2 linked regions of the Oreochromis niloticus genome follow. The protein of the gene in region 2 binds, or shares a complex with, the protein of the main gene of each other region. Links are inferred from orthologs where the notes say so. Each region holds a gene or a part of one and is shown on either strand. Other genes may lie near its edges.

Region 1 (10,249 bases), on a different chromosome or scaffold from region 2:
GCGAAGCGTCTCTTCAGCTGCTTCTCGATGCGAGAGATCATTTCCTGGTCCTCTTGAGACGTGAAGCCTTCCGCTCCTGGACACAAAATGTGGTTGGCATGCTTAGCTGAGGCTTAACACTTGGCTTCCAGCAAATTTAAAACAAAACATTCCTTAATGGAACAGCTAATATGGTTCAGTTTAATGAGGCAGATTTATCCGCTAGACTCAAAAACATAACCAACGCCCACCTGAAAGGCTGCCAGACAGTGCAGCGTCCAGCGTGGAAACCTGGAAGAGCCTCAGGGCCTCATCCACCTCCTCTTCTCCAGCCACTGCCTGCAGCTTCATCTTAGCCAGCGACTCTGCGATGCGCACGACGGCCTCCAGCTGCCTGAAAACCCCAAACATCAGACAGACGATGACGCGAGAAGATACAAGTACTAAAGCTGGCGTAAAAAGACACATTTACACGAATATTTATTAAAATAAATAAAAATCTACCTGACTGTGATGGGGATGGAGGCTCTTTTGTCGCTCTCCCTCTCATGCTCTCGTGCTCCGCTCCTCATCACCACGTATCTGTTTTTTAGCTTCTCAGCAGCTGCAGCAGACAGCCGAGGACCACACTTACTGTAAAAGGGCAAATGAGTATTATTATTTATTTTTTAAACTAAGTAGATGACTGTGTGCTTGATCAAACTAATATATGAACTCCAGGACACTTACGTTCTGGCATAAGCGATGTATTTCTTAAATGTGGTCAGCGGGATCTCGCCCTCGACACCCTCGGTCTGCGTCTGTGCGCTGAGGTGGACGTTCATCACGTGGCGAGCCAGCGTCTGTAAACACACGCGTTCAAATAGTTACACTCCGTAAAAACTCCAACCGCACGAGGGTTTAACGCCGCAGGCCTTCCTTACCATGTCTCTCTGCTGGTCGTGCTGGTCCTTGATGATGAAGATCATATCGAAACGGGACAGGATGGTGGGCATGAAGTCTATGTTGTCTTCGCCCTTTGTGTCGTCCCAGCGGCCGTACACGGAGTTGGCCGCCGCCAGCACCGAGCAGCGAGAGTTCAGGGTGGTGGTGATGCCAGCCTGGGAGGAGAGCCCACGTGTTAGCTTGCCTTCAACATAGCGAGCACATTTTGCTTTCTTTAAATGCACAAAGAGGGGATACCTTAGCGATGGAGATGGTCTGCTGCTCCATGGCCTCGTGGATCGCCACTCTGTCATCCTCTCTCATCTGGACAACAAACAGTGTTATCTTTAATAATGAGGCCGGAGATCAACTGATGGTTTAGTTTGTGCCAAGTTTGAATTCTTGTTTGCAGCTGGAGCAACTTGTGCTGCTTCGTTTTTACCTTGTCAAACTCGTCGATGCACACGACCCCGCCGTCGGCCAGCACCATGGCTCCCCCCTCCATGATGAATCCTCGGGTGCTGGGGTCCCTGAGCACGGAGGCAGTCAGACCGGCCGCGCTGCTGCCCTTACCAGAGGTGTAGATCTGCAGGGGACAGAGTCGAGGTTCAGGATCAGTGTGAGGGGTTTACACCGGATTTGCCATAGTGACGACAATCCACTCAGGATTACTTACCCCGATGGGCGAGCATCTCTCAACAAACTTCAGCAGCTGAGACTTGGCTGTGCCGGGATCACCCAGCATCAGCAGGTTGATGTCACCTCTACGAGTGAGACCATCAGGCAGCCTGCAGAGGACAGGAAACGAAAGCACTGCTGGGTAAGTCAGGGACTTTTACAATAAAGGTGGCGGTCTATGTATTGCGCTTCAAGCTCACCTCTTTCTTGAACCTCCAAACAGCAGACAGGTAATGGCCTTTTTCACATCGTCGCTGCCATAGATGGATGGCGCTATGGACTGTGACAGAGAGTTGTAGATGTTAGGAGAAGCAGCCAGTGCTCTCAGTTCCTCCTCTTCCTGTGGGGAGACGGATCCAGTGGCACCACGGCCTAAAAGAGGAAAACACATCCACACTTAAAGCCAGCTCTGCGTGCCTGAAGCGCATCACACCCGCATCTTAATGCAAACCCTCTTCACCTGCGCCTTCTGTGTCCACCTGGATGCCGACCACTCGCAGATAGGACGCACGAATACCCACGCCAACCCCTCTCTCTTTGCCTTTGGCTTTTGGTGCAGCCATCTTTTTGATGGAGTAAATACCCATGATGGTCACCCTGTTTCCTGGGACCACGCGGTCACACAGATACCTGAGAGAGAGGTGGGAAAAAGCATGAGTGTAAAAGCAGCAGAGCAGCAGAAAAGCTGAGTGCTGGTCACACATGTGCTTACCTGTCGCAGTAGAGCTGCAGGTGACGGGGCATCTCTCCGTGCGGTACAGCATCCGGGGACTCCTGCAGGCGAAGTGTCTGGAAGTCGACGCAAACGCAGCGGTCTGGGATGATGAAGAAAGGGTCCACGGGGCACTTTACCCTGCCAGCACTCTCACTGAGAAAAGAGGGAGCCTTGTTAAATCTGATTCTGGGTGAGGAACTCGAGCGGAGGGACGTTACACCACCATCATACTCACGAGTTGCACTTGCGCGGCAGGGCGTAACCCTGCAGGCCCGGAGGCAGGGGGATGTTGGGGATGACGGCGCGGCAGCCGCGACACTGCAGGAACACCTTGGTGGCTTTGGCTTTGACTGCCGTTGCAGAGATGATGATGCCGTGCACCTTCACCAGACGAGACACCTGCTCAGACTGCAGGGGACAGAAAAAACAAGAAAAAGTGTGATCAACCTGTCAGTAACTCCTACAGTATGACACATGAAGAGGTATGAGAGTACCTTGAGGCTGCGGATGGAGGCGTGATTAGCGTCGCTCTTCAACGTGACCTGGATGTCCTGCACAGCCTCTTCCCCGACAGGCCGGGGACGGGTCACCTCATCGGCCACCTCCTTCGCGGCTTCCTCCAGCTGTAAATTAAAAGCAGACCTTCAGACGAAGGCGTCGGACGGACAGATTGCGCGCTGCGACGGAGTTTGTGTGGTGTGACATTCTCACCAGAGGCAGGTTCTCAGTCGGCAGCTTGTAAAGACAGTCTGACAGATCCTCATCGAAGCTGGCGAGGTCCTCCATCTCCACCTCCAGCCAGTACTCCCCCAAGGTGTAGTGTCGCTTCAGCTCATCTCTAGTTGAATTTTTAAGTAAAGGATTTAGGTACAAGTGAAAATACTGCAAATTCATAGGCTGGATGAGCCTGAAAATGACACCTTTAGAGCCCTTTAATGGCAAATTATTCAGATGCTTCACAAAAGGGATCACAGTAGACCCAAATATAACTACTGTTGGTCTCTACACGTTATCAAGTTCAAGACGAGCTAGAGCAGGGATGTCAAACTCATCAGCCACATACAGCCCAATTTAATCTTAAGTGGGCCAGAGCAGTTTTCTTTTTCCCCTTTTTTATCATTGATCCACTGTAAAAGAAAACCAGATAGTAGACAGAAAAGTTCCATTTACTCATTTAACTGTTTAGCTATTACTTTACTTTGGTATAGAAGTTATGGTGATGGGGGAGAAAAGCTTAAAACTGATAAAAATATAGTTAAAAGTCCAGCATTTACACACTCCTTCACATTTTCCAAAGCCTTTCAGTGGGCTACACTGGAGTCTTCGTCTGGCCGATTTTGGCCCTCGGGCCTTATGTTTGACACCTCTGTGCTAGAGTCTACATTTTCCCCCAAATTCAGCAGCCCCTTTCTTTAGGCCTCCTGCCAGACTAATGAGCAAAAATCTCAACACTCACTTTGTAACAAAGCCTTTCAGTTAAGAAACAAGGCGATCCTCACAGACTCACCAGTCTTATTAGCTATATTACCTATATTGAGATCAGATCCTGAACACTCAGTGTGCGGCTGTATAACAAACAACAGCACGGTGCGCTCGCTGTTACCGTACCTGTATTTATAGGTGAAGCCGGTGCGGTCGGTCCCCACTCTGAATTGTCGCAGGAACTCACGGAACCGCTTCTTGATCTGGATCCGCTTCTGTCCACCTTCGTCCCCGCCGGGGCCCTCTCCACCTCCGAAGCTGTCACTGTAGTACACTCCTGGGTCGTCAAAGCCAGACATGCTGAATGAACCAGGTCGCAAAAGACACGAAGAGAAGCTGAGTGTAAAGAAGCAAACCCAGACAAAAACGACTTTTTCTTCTTAGTAAGAACTTAGCAGGATGTAAGGTGCCGCACACAAAGCCTCCTCACGGCGTCTCTTTCGCGGGAAAAACTGAACTCCTTCCCTTCACTTTCCCGCGAGCCGCCTCTGCGTGGCGTCATCTCCGGGCCTCTGATTGGCTGATAGGAAAGGCCTTGCATTGCTATTGGTCGGCGTGGCTACTCGGAGGTAGGTCGTCAGAGTAAAGGTGGAGCTTGTGAGCACTGATGGCGCGAAAAAGGCAGCAGGAGGAGGGTAGAGGGAAGCGTGGGGAGAGAGAGACACAAAGAAGGAAACAGACGATCTGCACAGTCAGATTTAAAAGAGTCATGTGTTTATGCTGATTGAATAGTAACACCTCTGAATACTTTGTCATTCTTTGCGAAATGCACTTTTAAATATTTAACTCTTTGTCATTTCAAATTTACACTATATGTCTTTTATCTAATTGAAAGGAAGAGTATTGATCGGCTTGATTGGTATGTACATGAAGCTTAAACACAGATAAAAAAGGAAAAACTAAAACAAAGCCTCTTACGGGGTTGATCCACCACATTCTTTGTAAAGCACCTTGAATAGACTTGAGTCTAGATTCAAGGGTCTGTGGATGCCTACTGGAGCGATGAACCCTGTTCCTCCAAAACAGATTCGGTTATTTGGTGTTTTGGTGCTAGGGAGTGGGGAATGCAGTAACATTCAAACCATTCGGCAAACTACAAATTGGTGCAGGGACCTCTCCTATCGGGAATGTTTCATCCTAGGATAAAGACACCAACTCAGTACAACTTAAAGGAGGACTGAAACCATGGGAGAGGGGAAAAATGCATAGCCGGACCACTCATCCTCTCAATCTACAGTCTTTTACTATGTTTGTGAATGTTTCCATCACTCTGCGCAGTGCTGCTTCGAATCCAAGCAAAATTATATAAAGGAAAGCATTTTATAGCAAAATGGTTTTCATTTAGTAGTGGTGTGCAACACTGTAAATTCTGATATTGATTCAAACTAAGTGCAGGACCAGTATTGCTGATACCAATACTGATACTTTGAACCTATAAAGGCAGCTCATGTAGAAGAGAGCATGTTTGAGGTATATTTTTTTCATTTTTACCCCTCAGAAAATATTTTATTTAACACAATTCAGTGGGCTACACACTGAATTTAGAGAACAGTATTAAACCTATGGCGCTAGTATCGATCTGATACCAATACCAGCACTGGTATGGATATTTGATATTGGGATCAATTCGGCCACCTCTAGCATTTAGCATCTCAACTTTAGAGGAGAATTATGGACTTTTCTTATAAATAAAACTCAAAGCCATAGTTTTTTTTCTTCTCTTATTTGAAGGATGTTTAATGTTTACCACACATGCCGATAAGCTAAGCACATTATATGTGTCACCATTATCCTCACAGTCATCAGAATCACATCTGCAGGATGGTTAAATGCCTTTTCAGATTCAGTGGAAACATTTTCTCGCTCATGAAAAGCGTTTAATCAACTGCCCTGTTTTGTTCCAATACAAACACTTTAGCAAAAGTGCTTTAATCAGTTAAGCAAGCACAAACATTCACCTCCAGTGACCTACAAATGTAACTAAAATTTCCATCACCATCATTCATGGATCTTGAGTAACAGGCAGCGTGACCCTGCAATGGCAAGCAGTTTTCTGAATCCTTCTGATTCCAGCCCGTTTGTTCGATTCAGGAGATGACGCCGTGCTTCCTGCCAGTCTGGATGAAAGCGTCAACACAGCGGTCGATGTCTTCGTCCGTGTGCGCTGCCGAAATCTGAACACGGATTCTGGCTTTTCCCTTTGGTACGACTGGGTAGGAGAATCCAATCACATACACTCCTGTGGAGGGAAGACACTACTGTGACACTGTATAAACACAGTAGCAGATTCACATACTCTGTGCTAAGTGAGTCAGTTTCATCTACATTAAAGAAAAAAATAAAGTTAATGTGGAAGTGCCAAAAAACTGCAGTTCCTTGAGCGGGCACTTGAGGCTGTCCCCAAAAGCGAGTCAATCCCCATAGACTCCCAGAAATGAACATGTTTTTTAGCCTGGTACAAAGAACTACTTTTGGTCTCTAGTGCTAGTTTCCCCCTTCACAACAACAGTACATGTGGTAAATTAATTTATTACTCACAATTTTAAACTGTAATGAGGTAAATATAAGCTTGTGGCCACCTTGACTTACTGATAAATGGCTGTACGGCAAACTGGATGTTCTAGCTTGTCCAGCAAGTCTGTGTGGTCAGTTTTGATGAGTGTATTTAATTTCTGTCTTACTTAGCACTAATTAGCTTGTGTAGCCATAGCACTTATTCAGGTTAGAGCTTGCTAACCAGCCTTGCTAGCATAATAAACCAATAACTTAGCAGTTGTCATTCATCAAAACACGGTCATGTCTGACTTAAAGAAAAAAACAACAACAACATGGCAGAGGCCAGAATTTGAACATTAATTCTTTGAAAATGAATGGCTAACATTCCATCTATTATATACAGTCTATGGTCTCACCAAGCTTCAGCATATCGTCAGCCATTAAAGAGGCCAAACGTGCATCGCCGAGCATCACAGGGCAGATGGGGTGAGCTGAGCCTGCGATGGTGAAGCCGGCTTGCGTCATCTTGTTCCTGAACCTGATTTGACAGCAAAGAGAAAACTATTATACTCACAGATGGGTAAAACCAGTTGTAAGCAGTATAAACCTTATCACTGAGTGCAGGTCAGCCTATATATGATATTAATATTCGTACAGGTAAACCGATTGGTGTTTATGATGTACACAACACTAAAAACATAGAAGACTCCCACTGTTCGTAAGAACAAAATGTACCGCATGGTTTTGGCCGTCATGCTTTGGGCAATCTCATTGGAGGCAAGCAACAGTTCCACAGCCCGCGTTGCACTGCCCACCACAGGAGGGGGGAGCGCGTTGGAGAATAGGTAGGGCCGCGAGCGCTGCCTGAGTAGGTCAATGAGAGGCTTTGGGCCAACTGTGTAACCACCTGAGAGAAAACAATACAACGTTTTACTAATTTATACTTAATAAAAAGATGTTGTGAGAGCCTTCATGTTAGAATGGAGTCATACCTGCTGCTCCTCCCAGCGCTTTGCCCAGAGTGGAGTTAATAATATGAACTCTATCCATCACTCCAAGGAGTTCATCAGTTCCTCTGCAAATCACAGGGAAGCGGTAACATTAGTTCATCACCTCTTGATAACGGAGATAGCTAAACTTCATCAAGAGCCCAGTAAACGGCAGTTGCTGTAAGAATGGACTTTGGCGACACCTAGTGGTCATGTTGAAAAAGACACTGTCCCAGCTTTTTTAGAGCAGTTTTTTATTCAAAGTCTGTTGGACACGAGGACACAGAAGCTGAAAAGCATTTTAATAACAATCCACTCTTCTCTGCCTCTTCGAAATAAAAAAAAACTTAGAAATTAAAAATGATTTTAGGGCATTACACTTTTACGATTAGAGGTCTTGTGTTTTATTTTGCAAAATAACTGACTTAGGATTTTTCAGTTGAAGTCTTTTCTTACCCACCTTCCCCGAGGCCCTAGGAAACCGGTGGCGTGACATTCGTCTATAAACACCATGGCTCCGTACTGCTCAGCCAGGTCACAAATCCCTCGCAAGGGAGCCACATCTCCATCCATTGAGAAGACCCCATCTGTCACTACCAGACGCATACGAGACGACTGAGGAGGAGAACAGAGAGCGCAGGTGATCGGTGTGTGACCTCCTCTGAGTAAGCTGTGTCATTTTCACTATTTTCTAACACAATGCAAGGAGCGATGGAACAAGAAGGAATGTTTTACTCCGTCTACATTCCTCCACACACCGAAGCTTCTTTGAGTTTGGTTTCCAGGTCACCGAGGTCCATGTGTTTGTAGCGCAGCCTCTTCGCTCGACACAGGCGAATGCCATCGATGATCGAGGCGTGGTTTAGCTCGTCAGAGAGCACTGCGTCATCTGGGCCCAGCAGCACCTGTTGTGAGAATAATTTGTCGTTATACTGATCGTAACAGGGGGAAGTCCTTCGTTTCAAGTCCATTTGGACCCACCTCAAAAAGTCCCGCGTTGGCATCGAAACAGCTGGCGTAGAGGATGCAGTCCTCTCTCTCATGGAACTCAGCGAGCTTCTGCTCTAGCTTTTTGTGGAGATCCTGTAAATCACGCATTACGCAAACTTAACCTCATGAATTAGACAGCTTTGGGGTGATATACATGATCTTTAAGCACCAGACCTGCGTCCCACAGATGAATCTGACAGAGCTCAGTCCAGCACCGTGTGTCTTCAGAGCATCGATTCCTGCCTGGACCACTTCTGGATGACTGGACAGCCCGAGGTAGTTGTTGGCGCAGAAGTTCAATATACCTGAGAGAATTTTGGATGGACAAAAGGAAAATTAAGGTTAAAAAAGAGAGAGTCACTGTCCCATAATAACCTCTTTGAGCAGGTCGAAGCTGGGAGTAGAAGTTCTGCTTGTATTTTTAGGCTACAGACGAGACAACAGAGAGAGAAGACAAAGAGTGACAGAGAAAACAATGCATGGGACCGTGGCACTGTTGGGCACATGAAATGAACGGGGGTCGTTTTAGTGCATGTTGGGTCACGACCTAAAGTCTGTGGCCCATTCATAAATTAGCAGAGTCGATCTCTGGCAAGGGTTCAGGCTGAAATATAAACAGTGATCGGCTGCTTTGCTGGAACAATAGCAAATAAGGCAGAGATTAACTGGTGCAGTGCAGTTAAATGCTAGAGCCTTCACAAGTCAAACAATGAATATGCATTGTACAAAGCACAAAACAGCTTTCTGTTGATGACATAAAGACCACTTTACAAATTATTTTGAATTATTTAAAGCTTGAATCTCATACTTTTGGTTAATGTTTTTCCAAAGGCTGCCCCGAGAATAGCTTCAGAAGTGCAAAACAAGGGAGTAGCAGGGATTACTTCAAGTTCACCGCTGAGATAAGAACGTGGCAGAACTGAAATAACACCTTACCTGGGACGGTGCGTTTAAGGACCATCACCGAGGAGGGTGCTACTGCTACTTATAAAACTGCTGTAACTGGAAACTCCTAGTACTCACTGCCACGACTGCCGTCCACGCTGATCTCAGGACCCTGCTTGGAGATGATGATCCTCTCCGCTTTCCACGTCCCCGCGGCTCGGATCGTCTCCAGCTCGTGTTCCAGCACCGCCCGGGCTGCAGCGGCAGCGGTGTAGCTGCGGCTCAGGCCCGAACACCGCAGAGCCCCCCGGAGCGGGCTCACCAAACTGCGGGCAGCTTTTCCAAGAGACATAGCGGTGAACTTGTTATGCTATTAAAGATATATGAACTGTGGCACAGAAAGGCTCAATGTAAAGAGCAAGCGTGGTTGCGTCACGTAACAAGGGTAGGCGTCTGTCTGGAAGACCAATCAGAGAGCAGGGCCGCTGGCAGGTGGCTTGTTTGGTCCAATCGCATTGCAGACAGTTTTTTTTTTTAGCTGGCTGATATCCACTTTGGTAGTTCACAGTCTGATGCCTAATATAAACTATAACAACATTTTACTGCTTTTAGTCACGTTTGGTACGTTTCAAATACTTTGTACATCACAGGAAGTACTTTGTACTAAATATAGTACATTTACAGCAAAAAATGTGACAATGTAATTTGTTACAACTAGAACCCCCCCCCCACATTACTTGTTTTTGAGTGTCGGTACCGAGATCGAGATATCAAACACACACACACAGACATTTATTTCAGTGTGTTGAAAGTGCCCTCAGTATCCAGACTGAATACACATCAAGCTAAAACACAAACAATAAATGAACCATGCATGTGTTTTTAAAATTTACATGAAGACCTCCAGTTAGTTCTGGAGGTGACACGGAAAGAAAAGAAAAATACCGTTTGATCTGGATCAATGATTTTGGGTTATACAGTCAGAATGAGCTCACTCCAGCAGACTAGGTAGCTGAATAATGAACCTATGGTGTAATAACCTTCCAGATATCTATGGGAGGATGAATAGCTATTATAAAAATTACAATGCTACTACATAGTACAGTTTGGA
Region 2 (10,615 bases):
GCCTCCTTCAATGAGGAGCATGACGATGACCGCCGCCCACGGCAGCAGCGACGGGCCGTCCCTCTCACTGCATTACAGCTGTCGCTGTGTGTGTGTGTGTGTGTGTGTGTGTGTGTGTGTGTGTGTGTGGCGTTCAGGATCAGTACGAGAAGGCGATGGCGGCGCTGCAGCAAAGGGCGGAGGACGTGGAGACCAAACTGAAGGCGGTCCGTCTGCTCCTGCAGGAGAAGGTGGAGCAGCTTAAAGAGCAGGTGAGCGTTTGCGCCGCTTCTCCGCCGTCCACAAACGACTGGCCGAACTTTGACCCGTTGCCATTTTTCCGACAGCTGGCGAGGAACGCCAAGTCGAGCGCGCTGCTGAAGGACCTGTACGTGGAGAACTCGCAGCTGATGAAGGCGCTGCAGGTCACCGAGCAGCGGCAGAAACGCGCCGAGAAGAAGAACTTCCTGCTGGAGGAGAAGGTTGGCGCGCTCAACAAGCTGCTGAGGGACATCGTCCCTGCGTCGCTCGCCACATAACCATGCCAACGCGGAGCATAAGAACCCCAGCAGGTGGGGGCGGGGCCTCACCTCTGCCCTGTGTGGAGCAGGTGGATGTCTGTCTCCTCACTGAAGCAGTCCACACACACACACACGTGTGTCAGTATTATCTTTGTTTAAAATGAAACCTGTTTTTATTTTTGCGTCGTTTAAATAAAGTTTTAATGTCTCTGTGACTCCGCCTCCTGCAGCTGATACATTTCTTTTAACACATCATGGTGTAGGAGTTGCACAGTAAATCACTGGTTTTCATTGTTAGCCTCAAATGTCAACTTTGAAAGTCTGCGGTGTCAAACATACAGCTCGGGGGCCAGAACCGGCCGCCCGAGGGCCCGCTTGGGTCTGGTGTGAGCTGTGAGGAGCGCCGGCCGATGTTTGGAGCAGGAGGAAGCCCCGAGGCCGCGACGGTCACGGCTTTAAAGCTTCGGAGCTCTGCTGTGTTTAATCTTTATGTCATCTTACTTTTATCTTTTTAATCAGTCAGACGTCCCAGCGGCGCCGAGCGCCTGCAGCCAATAACCACGTCGATAAACTCGATCAGCTGAACCTGAACATCAACATTTTATTTGATTTCAAAGTATGATTACAGGTAAAGCTTCACACCTGTGCTGTCATACAGTCACTGGCCATTTCATTAGGTACACCTGATGAAATACCTGATGCCTTTAATCAGCCAATCCCACGTCAGCAGCTGTGAGCGTGGTCGTGCCTCACTGAGGTCAGAAGGAGAAGAATGGGAAGGAAACAGGTAGTCAGATTAACACACTGACAAACCTGCAGCACTCGTGTCATGATGTCGTGATGATGTCATATCCACATGGACCAGAGTCTGAGGAACACTTTCAACTTGTTGAATCTGAGACGCTCTGAAGGAAATAGGGCTCCGCCCACTCGGAGGTAGACCTAATAAAGTGTCCATGATGGCATAAACCTGTCTAATCCCGTCTGTAAGTGACAGCGTATGAATCCTGCTTCGGTCCAAACTACTCTGTGTTTATTAAGGCTGTTGTGTTATTAACATTTTGTATCTTGTTCCATTTAATCTGAACAAGCCCCTAAAAACAGTCAGTGATCACTGTCGTCCTCTCTCGGTTTTTATCACCACTGTTCATTTTAAAGCTCAGTTTTTAAACCCTTCCGATATAACTACAGCCCAGCACATGCAGCAGCATATTAATGACTAACCTCGTACTGTGGATGGATTATCTCAGGTGTGAGATAATCCATTTATTCCCTAACCATCGTGAACCCTCACGTTAACTTATACGAAATGGAAAGAAAGTTAGCGTTCATCCTCCAGCTTCAGTGTTTATGTGATGCTAACATAGCTGTGTAGCTAGCCACCACGTAGCACGTCATTATATACCAGCTAGCCCAACTTCAGTAACCCTACAAACGTCACTGCTGTTTAGTTTTCTGTCTTCATTTATGTTGGAAGTGATAGCAGAGCTGTACGTTTGAATGTTTCAGAAATCTCAGTCAGAACATGCTATATCATGTTTAGGTGGAAGCTAGTGAGCTAACTTCCTGCTAACTTCTAACTCTGTTAAATTTCATAAATCCTGTTTTCATGGATGCCTGGATGTTAAACTTAATAGTTACACCTGGTAAAGCAGCAACGCTGATCATTTTATTAAAGATGAAAGAATTTAGACAGTTTGTAACTCTCAGTGATGCCGCAGTGTTCGTTTGACTTTGGGACCTGAAGCGGAGTTTGGACCCAGAAACAGCTGATGACATCAGACTTAAAGACCGGATGTTCTTTATGGATCTGTCAGCTGATCCTGTGATGACAAGTCACATGACACAAACACACAGGAAGTCCCTGACAGGGTTCAGGTTCTGTTGAACCTGCTTCCTGCTCAGGTGGATAAGAACAGGAAGTGGCAGCCGAGAGCTTTTAAATAAAGTAGGCGGAGCTTGAAAAAAACATTTATTATCACATCAGAAGAAGAGGCCAGAATAAAGGTAAGTGCAGGTGTTTTCCAGCTGCTGAAACATCTGCATCGTCAGGACACCACATGCTCCAGGACGCCCTGACGAATCAGCAGTTCGCATTTCCACCGCGGCAGGAAGTGCTGAGGACAGAGGGGACGTTACCATGATGACTTCAAACATTTCACATGTTATTAAACAGTAGAAGAAGAGTGGCTTCCTGTCCTCACCTGGCTGTTCTTCTTCAGCAGGATCACCGTGCCGTCGTCGATCTCAAACTCGCCGTGGTCCTTCAGACACCTCACCTGAAAAACAAAGACGGATGCCGGCGTCAGTGCTGCGAGGTCATGCTGCAGCTGAAGGTCAAAGGTCAAATGTCTCACCTCAATGTAGAGGCTCTTTGGAGGCTTCATGTCCTGCGTGATGTCCAGACCCTCATCGCCCCCCAGAGAGCGCATGAAGGAGGCCAGAGACTTCTTATACTGACTGAACCACTGCAGCTAAAACACACACAACACACACACACACACACACTGAAGAGCTACAGCACGCTCTGCTGCCTCTTTCACAATAAAAGCCTCCCCTGAAGCGAATTACTCAGGCTTTTAAAGTGAAAGTTTACAACCGCCAATAAAAAGAGCATCAGTGAGAGCGCTAACACCTGAGAGACACACAGGAAGTGATGTCACACTCACCTCCTCTGCACACATGTGGAAGCGAACATTGGCGGGCAGCACGCTGCCGTACTCCCAGCGCAGCGCTCTGATCCTCAGCAGCCGGTCGTACCTGCAACAAAGATCAGCAAAGGTCATCGAGGAGAAAGGTGAGGCAGAGAGAGGTGGTCACATGACTGCAGGTGTGGTTACAGGTAGGCGGTGACGCAGCGCTGGTTCCTCAGCAGGCAGCAGTGGCGCAGTTTGATGGAGGGAATCAGCTCGGCGCGACCTTCGCTCTTTGCCTCGTTCCTGAAAAAACACGCACATCAGCTGATCAGTGACGCCGTCAGTCGCACCTGTCTGTGCGTGCGAACACTCAGGTGCCAGGGAGGATGCTGGACGGGGTCCGCTGAGCAGTTTGGAGTGGGCGGGGCCTTCATGACACCCTGAACCAGCACTCAGGTGGTGTTCCTCCTTTTTAGGAGGTCCGGAGGGTGTGTTACTGTAGGGTCTTTACCTTACAGCATAAGCACCCTGAGGCGACTGTTGTTGGGATTTGTTGCTGTATAAATAAAATTTTATTTAATTCCTGAGATAAAATTTTCATTGCATTTAGTATTATTTATTACTTTTATTGTAACATTAACTGTAGGTGGTTTTGGACCCAGTATCATGAATTTAAACTGAAGCTGAGGCCCAAAGCTTCACATGACTTCCTGTTCATTTGATATGGATTTCATGGTTTTTAAAACCTGCTATGAGAGGGAGGAGCGGGGGCACGGGAGGTTTAATCTGGTCATGGTGAAGCTCAGGTTAACAGAAACCTGGATCCAAACCCTCAGACCCTGGGAACTCTGAGGAAACCCGGACAGATTGGCCTGCCGTGGACTCACACGTCACTCTGGTTCTGCTCGTAAAGTGCCTCCATCTCCTGCAGCACCTGTCGCAGTCCATCCTCCTGAAACACAGAAACCAAACCCGAAGTGAGTGAGGCTCAGTGACCTGATGGAGCAGCTCCCGGTGGAGGCACAGACCTCCACAAAGCACTAGTTTGCATCAAACCCTCACTTCCAGGCGCCTTCAGATGATTCTTGTTGAATCCAGACTCCATTCAAATTTCTCCCTGTTTAAGGCTGAGTTGTTATTAGTCATCCACACACGAGTTTGACAGCACTTTGATAATTCAGCATATGCAGGAAATGATTCACCACGAAGAGTCCAACATAATATTAACTGTGTGCTGCTGGCTGCACATCGGTGTCGTTAAAACAGCCGACATGTAATGCAGTGCCCGTTATGTGTAAACATGTTTAGATGAGATCTCTAAGACGCGCATAATTCTGTCCAACACTTTTCCAATTTCAGAGTCCGTTTTCTTAAATTCCCCTCATTGGTCTGTTGGTCAGTATTTGAATCATCAGACCTGAGCCGAAGTTTAGTCCTGTGTCTGCACTGACTGAGGATGTTTGCGATGCATCACAGACCGATTATTCTGCTCTGAGCAGCAGGTAAATATTAAAATATCAGGTTTGTGAATGGAGTCCGCTGCCTCTGAAAACCGGGTGAAGCTCTGGGTTTTCGCCGGGATCACTCACGTTAAACGCGGGCAGCTGTCCGTCGCTCATGCGGTGCAGCTCTCTGATCAGCTCGATGGCTTTTTCGCAGAACATCGTGGCACCTCGAAAACGAGCACACCGAACAGAACCGAGCAGAATACCGGGAATCTCTCCGTTGGACCGCGACGCGCTCCTACTGTACCGGGCGGCTCGCGTTCGCGGTAAAAACAATGTTTTGATCACGTGACCGTTCCAGGCGCAGCTCCGGAAGCCGCGTTGGGTCAAACCTCAGACTCCGCGACACGAAGCGGGCAGCTGCGATTCCTAAAGGCTCTGGAAAGAGTCGGAGATGCGGTGAAGCGGATTCATTTGAGCCCGACTTAGAGGTGAGAGAGAGCCGTGTTAGTGCTGGTGTCGCCGGGGGCGGGAAAGCCGTCATCTACCGTCAAATCTCAGTTCTATCCCGCAGCGTGACTTCCGGTAAGCGCAGCGGCTAAAAATAAAGCCGTCAGCCCGACAGGAGCCTCTGACAGCGGGGACCAGGACGAGCCGGACTCACTGGCTCTGTGTGAGTTCATAAAGCCGCCTTTAACGCACTCTCCGCCGCTTCTTCTTGGGTTAGCTTCGGTTAGCTTCACTGTTAATACTGCGTTCAAGTTCCACCGGAAAAACGACCCCTCTGCAGCAAAATCCCTCAAAAATAAGTCAAAACTTCTGGGGTGATCGTTGGTTTCATCCACGCTTCCAATCAAATACACATCACTGCAGCTGTTTATCAGGAAATTACTTGATCTTTGTGGTGGCTTCTCTTTCTGGGACTTAATGGATACTCAGTGTCCTGATGTCGATTCATAAATGCTTTAGTTTGGGATTTTTTTTGGTCTGTGGTGTGTATTGGAATGAAATACAATGTATAAATCAAGATAGAAGCTGCTTAAATATTCCAACACAGAGACAGAGATCACAGCTTCTCACGCTTCACTTTGGTCACGTCATTCTGGGCGTTTCTTGACTTTCCGAGCTGTCCCTGAAGGCCCCGTACGCTCCCTTCGTCTTTAGTCTTTCTTTAATCCTCATAAACCGGTTTTGTTTTGGTTGTCGTTGCTCCGACGCTCCCCGGGGGCCGTGGACGCGTCACTGTGCGCCCACGTGGTTGTGTTACCTGCGTTGCGATTGGCTGCGGCAGATCTGCTTCAGATCAGCTGCTCTCTGCGGATCTCGGCGCAGGCACAGCGGGGACTCGGCTCCGTGCTCACCGGCTCTCAGCGCTCCGTCACCCGCACCGCAGCGGCCTCCTCCCCGCCGACGACGGGGGTGTCCTCCGGTTAACATCCGCTTTCAATCACGTTTCCAGGCATGCGTAAGCGGACCAACTCGCAGACAGCGGAGCATGACAGCGGGACCACCGGCACTCTGCTGGACAGCGACCCGGACCTGAAGCAGCGCACTGGCAGAGGAGCGGCGGGGCCCGCAGCAGGCAGCCGGCAGGGCCCGGGAGAGGACCGGAGCATGGCCAAACCGTTCCGGAGGTGAGAGGCGGGACAGATGCTTGTGATGTTGAAGCATCGCGTTATTTAGATGAAAATCAGTGTGATGTGAAGTGAATTCCATTTCATAGAAAAAAATCTTTATTGTTTTTGCTGCTTTTCTACTCAAGTTTATTCATTTAAGAATAATTAGTGCTGTACAAGAGAGTGAGACATTTAACAGTGATAAAGGTATAAATCCATAATGATAAACAGCTCACACGTAAAACAGAAATAAGAAGAAACAACAGTAAAATGGAAAGCTAAAAATTACAACTCGAATAAGAACATTTTATAAAAAATGCTTAAAAACAGAGTTGAATAAACAGCTTATTAAAAAACATCACAGAGGAGACCAAAAGTGTCCCGTCTGAGAGATCGGAGCGGGCTTGTACAAACTCAGGTATTTCCTCAACGTGCTGGGATTTTGACCCTTGTGCAAGATCTGACTGTGGGGTGGCGTTTCTGGTCCGACTGGTTTCACCGAGGCCGGCGAGCTGGTCAGACCGGAAGCTGCAGGTCGGACTGAACACGGCGGGTCCATAAAGCAGCGCCTCATTCAAAGCTCTGAACACAAAACTGCTCTTTGTTTACTGCAGCAGGAAACTTTACATCGAGATGCCAAAGCTATTTACCTGCAACAGCTGACAGACTCAAGCTGTCGCAACATCATCACGTTTAGTTTAACTGAGTCATCTCTGGTTACGGGCACAGGAAGTCAGCAGTTACAGCAGAAATGAGCTGATAACAGCAGCTTCACTGAGAGACAAACAAACATGAAGCTGCTGTGATTCTGATGTTTCTCTATCAGGATGAAGCTGACACTTTCAGGTCGGCCTTCATCCTGACTTTATTGTTGAGTGTTTGAGTTGAGTGTTCGGTCACAGCTCACGGCTCAGAGAGCTTCATAGGACCGCCTCCAGCAGGGTTAAACATCACAGCTGGGGGTGAAGAAGGCTCTCAGGCTCCGCCTTCACAGCCGTCCTTTAATGAAGAAATGAAAGAATTTAAAGAAAATACTCCAAAAAGACAAAGTGACTCTTTTCTGATCTTTAATTCACGAAGAATGAAGAATGTCAGACCTCGTTTAACCCCAGCTCAGCCTGTCAGGTCCACTCTTCTTCTTTGGTTTAATCCTCATTAGAGTCTCTGCAGCTCCAGCAGGAGGTCACCTGAAGCACAGGTCAGGCCCAGTGCATCCTGGGACGTTGACACATCCACCGTCTGAGCTCAGACGCCGACAGGAAGTGGCCTCGCTGCTGCTGCTGATGCGTGTTAAAGCTGTGGGTCACGGGTTTGAGTCCATGTGTCATCACTTCCTGCAGAATCAGCTTGTGAAAGGAGAAGTTCTGCTCCGTGACGCCGAGTCAGCGTCTCGACCTCAAACACGGGTGCCCTTTGACCTCTGACACACTTTTCAGAGAGTCGCCGTGAAATACGGAGCTGCGTTTTCTTATCACGAGTCAGCAGTACTGCAGGTGTAACAGTGGGAGTCTAGCCCGCCACAAACACGGGCATCCAGCTGTGGAGACACCTGACAGGAAGTTAGGAGGAGGTCCACGTTAAAGAGGCGGGGCTTTAGAAGCTGTTTGTAGATAAAAACATTGATTTCCTGCTTATGTTCATCATTACAGCCACGATCAGACAAGATGCTGTGTGTGTGCATGTAAACATGCTGCTCTGAGGACAGGTGAAGGTCTGCAGACTCTCACTCATCAATGAATAATTCAGTCTGCAGCTGCAGCGTCCTGTTACAGCGACAATACCAATACAGCTGATCAGCTTACACACACACACACACACACACACACACACACACACACACACACACACACACACACACACACACACACACACACACAGGGCTCAGATATCACCTTCACATGTTGTCCTGAGAGAAAGCAGCTGCTACCAAACTTGAATAAACTTTATTTAAACGGTGAACGTGAGGCTGCATCGCTCACACATGTTGTGTGCGTTATTTTCAGAGTTGTGTTTCTTGCAGTTTCCTGGGTTTATTCATGTTTCGTGTCTTTGGCAGCTCGATGGTTGTCAGATGCAGATTAATGAATAAAAATGTAATAAAAGTCAATCCTGTGTGATCGGGTCGAGTGGTGGACGCTGAAATAAAGTCCACGGAAACTTTCTATTAGTTACTGTGTTCTTAAAATGACCTGTGATATAATAATACAGTGAAATGTGTATTTAATGTCAGCTGAGGCTTCAGTTACCCTTTAATAACAGGACATTTTAATCATTGTTGGAGTAAAAGTCATAATAAAAATAAATGTACAGAAAGTTCAAACCAAACAGAATCAGGTTCCCGTCACAAACTGAATGTAAAGATTTCACGTGTCAGACGATCTGCACGCCTGTCACACGTGTCACGCTGAACGTGTCACGTGTGGGTCATTCATGATGTTGTGCTGTTATTGTGTGCCCTTGTGAGTAGGCGGGGTTTAAATAAAGTTATTTTGAATGTGTGTGCTCAGGTTGGGTCTGGTGGGGAAACTGAAGAGGGTGGTGTTGTGGCTGCTGCTCGTCTACGTCTCCATTCCCTTCATCATCAAGCTGTGTCCGTCCATCCAGGCCAAACTCGTCTTCCTCAACTTCGGTGAGTCGGCGTGTCCCGAATCGGCCTGTGTGAGCGGACGCTCCTTTATTTATAAAAACCTTTTCGTTAACACGCAGTAAAAGAAAACTCGATGAATCACTTCAAACCCCGGCCGCCTGCCCCTCCCTGGTCCTGCTCTGGTCGAGGTCTCTTCCTGTTAAAGGGAGTTCTTCCTCCTCGCTGTCGCCGAGAGCTTGCTCATGGGCTTCTCTGTGACTCTTACCTGAGTGAATGACTAGTCTCGGTTAAAGAGCGTCCGTCGTCCAATCAGACGGCATCAAACAGTTCGTCTGACTCAGTGAAGTTTAGAAAACAAAGTGTCGGTCCTGTGATCGTGACAGACATCAGTCTGTCCACGTCACCTGCACAGGTGCACTGCAGAAGACAAAATGCCACGCCCACATTTCTCCTTAAAAGGAAAGACATGAATGTGCAGCTCAACTATAAAAAGGGTTTCCTCGACGTGATGGGGGCTAAAAATAGCACAGAGGCTCAGGTGGAAACCACACAGCAGAGGGAGGGGCCACCCACCTGTGGGGCCGCGTTACTTTAATAAATCACAACAGAACGTTTATTTATTCTGTGTGTGTGTGTGTGTGTGTGTGTGTGTGTGTGTGTGTGTCACTGAGGTGTATTAATTACTGTAAAGATCAGTAATGATGACAGGAAGCATTGTGAATAGCGAGGCATCCTGGGTGTCAGTGAGCAGTCATGTGATCAGTATGTGACCTTTGACCTCCTCCCCTCAGTGAGGATGCCGTATTTCATCGACCTGAAGCGACCTCTGGACCAGGGATTGAACCACACACACAACTTCTACCTGGAACCTGAGAGCGGGCTGAAGATCGGAGTCTGGTAACACAGACACACACAGACACACACACAGACAGACAGACACACACACACACACACACACACACACACACAGACAGACACACACACACACAGACAGGTGTGGTGTGTATCGGTGTGTGTCTTTAAAGGAAGTCGAGGTTTTCAGTCGATATAAAGTATGGACATGTGGGCGGAGTCTCGCCCTCGGGCTGAGGGTTCAGGTGTTTCCTGACACGCGTGCTGGACTGATCGATCCACATTCCCGCCCTCAGACAGATACTGTGGAGCACCTTACACGCACCCATGTCGTTCCATTATCTGGAGTCAACTGATGCTGGGATCAGGAAGCTGGGGTTCACAGCATGAGTTACCATGGCGACTGCAAGCCCGACACGACCTCTATAGAAAGTTCAGAGTTCACCCTGAAGTTACCTGGATAAGAGGAAATCCTGTGGGCAGTGCAGACGTCTCAGATTACCTGTGACCATGAGCCAAGGGTGGAGGCTGGAGGAGTGAGGAGGAAACGAGCCTCCTGCTCCCGAGACCCAGCGTGTGTTTGTTTGTTTACATGTTTGTTTGTTTGTTTCAGGCACACGGTTCCTGCTCAGATGTGGAGAGAAGCTCAGGGGAAGGAAGGCGACTGGTACGAGTCCAAGTTTAGCTCCTCCCATCCTGTTATCCTCTATCTCCATGGAAACGCAGGGACCAGGTGAACCGCCCGGCCCGGCCCTGCCAGCAGGCATACACACACCTTTGTCATTGATTTAAATGTAGAGTTTGACCTTTGACCTCGTGTCTCTCTACAGAGGAGGAGACCACAGAGTGCAGCTGTACAAGGTGAAAACTCGTCTGCTGTTTGGAGTCAGTCACAGAATTTATGGAAACTTCCAGAAACCACAGAACCCTCATCAGGAGCTCCTCGACCTCTGACCCTGATCTGACCCAGGCCCTTTAA

Evidence for each region. Proteins that work in one complex are often made in the same cells at the same time.
Region 1: gins1 (region 2) and mcm5 share a complex: the UniProt entries of both Homo sapiens proteins name them as parts of the CMG helicase complex. The link is inferred for Oreochromis niloticus from reciprocal best matches to the Homo sapiens genes GINS1 and MCM5.

Annotation. Positions count from the first base shown.
Region 1 is NC_031969.2:8,560,837-8,571,085, forward strand, and holds the start of mcm5 (DNA replication licensing factor MCM5), read right to left. Parts: upstream 4,254-10,249; 5' UTR 4,078-4,253; coding exon 3,905-4,077; intron 3,135-3,904; coding exon 3,008-3,134; intron 2,920-3,007; coding exon 2,791-2,919; intron 2,705-2,790; coding exon 2,532-2,704; intron 2,450-2,531; coding exon 2,294-2,449; intron 2,212-2,293; coding exon 2,042-2,211; intron 1,954-2,041; coding exon 1,782-1,953; intron 1,692-1,781; coding exon 1,580-1,691; intron 1,490-1,579; coding exon 1,346-1,489; intron 1,228-1,345; coding exon 1,162-1,227; intron 1,080-1,161; coding exon 903-1,079; intron 822-902; coding exon 709-821; intron 613-708; coding exon 484-612; intron 374-483; coding exon 231-373; intron 77-230; coding exon 1-76. Other genes in the region: gcat (2-amino-3-ketobutyrate coenzyme A ligase, mitochondrial), read right to left, coding at 5,866-6,017, 6,691-6,812, 7,010-7,181, 7,267-7,349, 7,724-7,878, 8,022-8,168, 8,245-8,346, 8,428-8,558 and 1 more. UniProt on the Homo sapiens protein: Acts as a component of the MCM2-7 complex (MCM complex) which is the replicative helicase essential for 'once per cell cycle' DNA replication initiation and elongation in eukaryotic cells.
Region 2 is NC_031978.2:2,105,060-2,115,674, reverse strand, and holds gins1 (DNA replication complex GINS protein PSF1), read right to left. Parts: upstream 4,859-10,615; 5' UTR 4,801-4,858; coding exon 4,726-4,800; intron 4,692-4,725; exon of another isoform or gene 4,199-4,691; intron 4,089-4,198; coding exon 4,024-4,088; intron 3,440-4,023; coding exon 3,341-3,439; intron 3,261-3,340; coding exon 3,170-3,260; intron 2,975-3,169; coding exon 2,858-2,974; intron 2,780-2,857; coding exon 2,705-2,779; intron 2,618-2,704; coding exon 2,549-2,617; 3' UTR 2,460-2,548; downstream 1-2,459. Other genes in the region: lysophosphatidylserine lipase ABHD12, read left to right, coding at 6,043-6,215, 8,705-8,826, 9,576-9,681, 10,250-10,369, 10,467-10,497. UniProt on the Homo sapiens protein: Required for correct functioning of the GINS complex, a complex that plays an essential role in the initiation of DNA replication, and progression of DNA replication forks.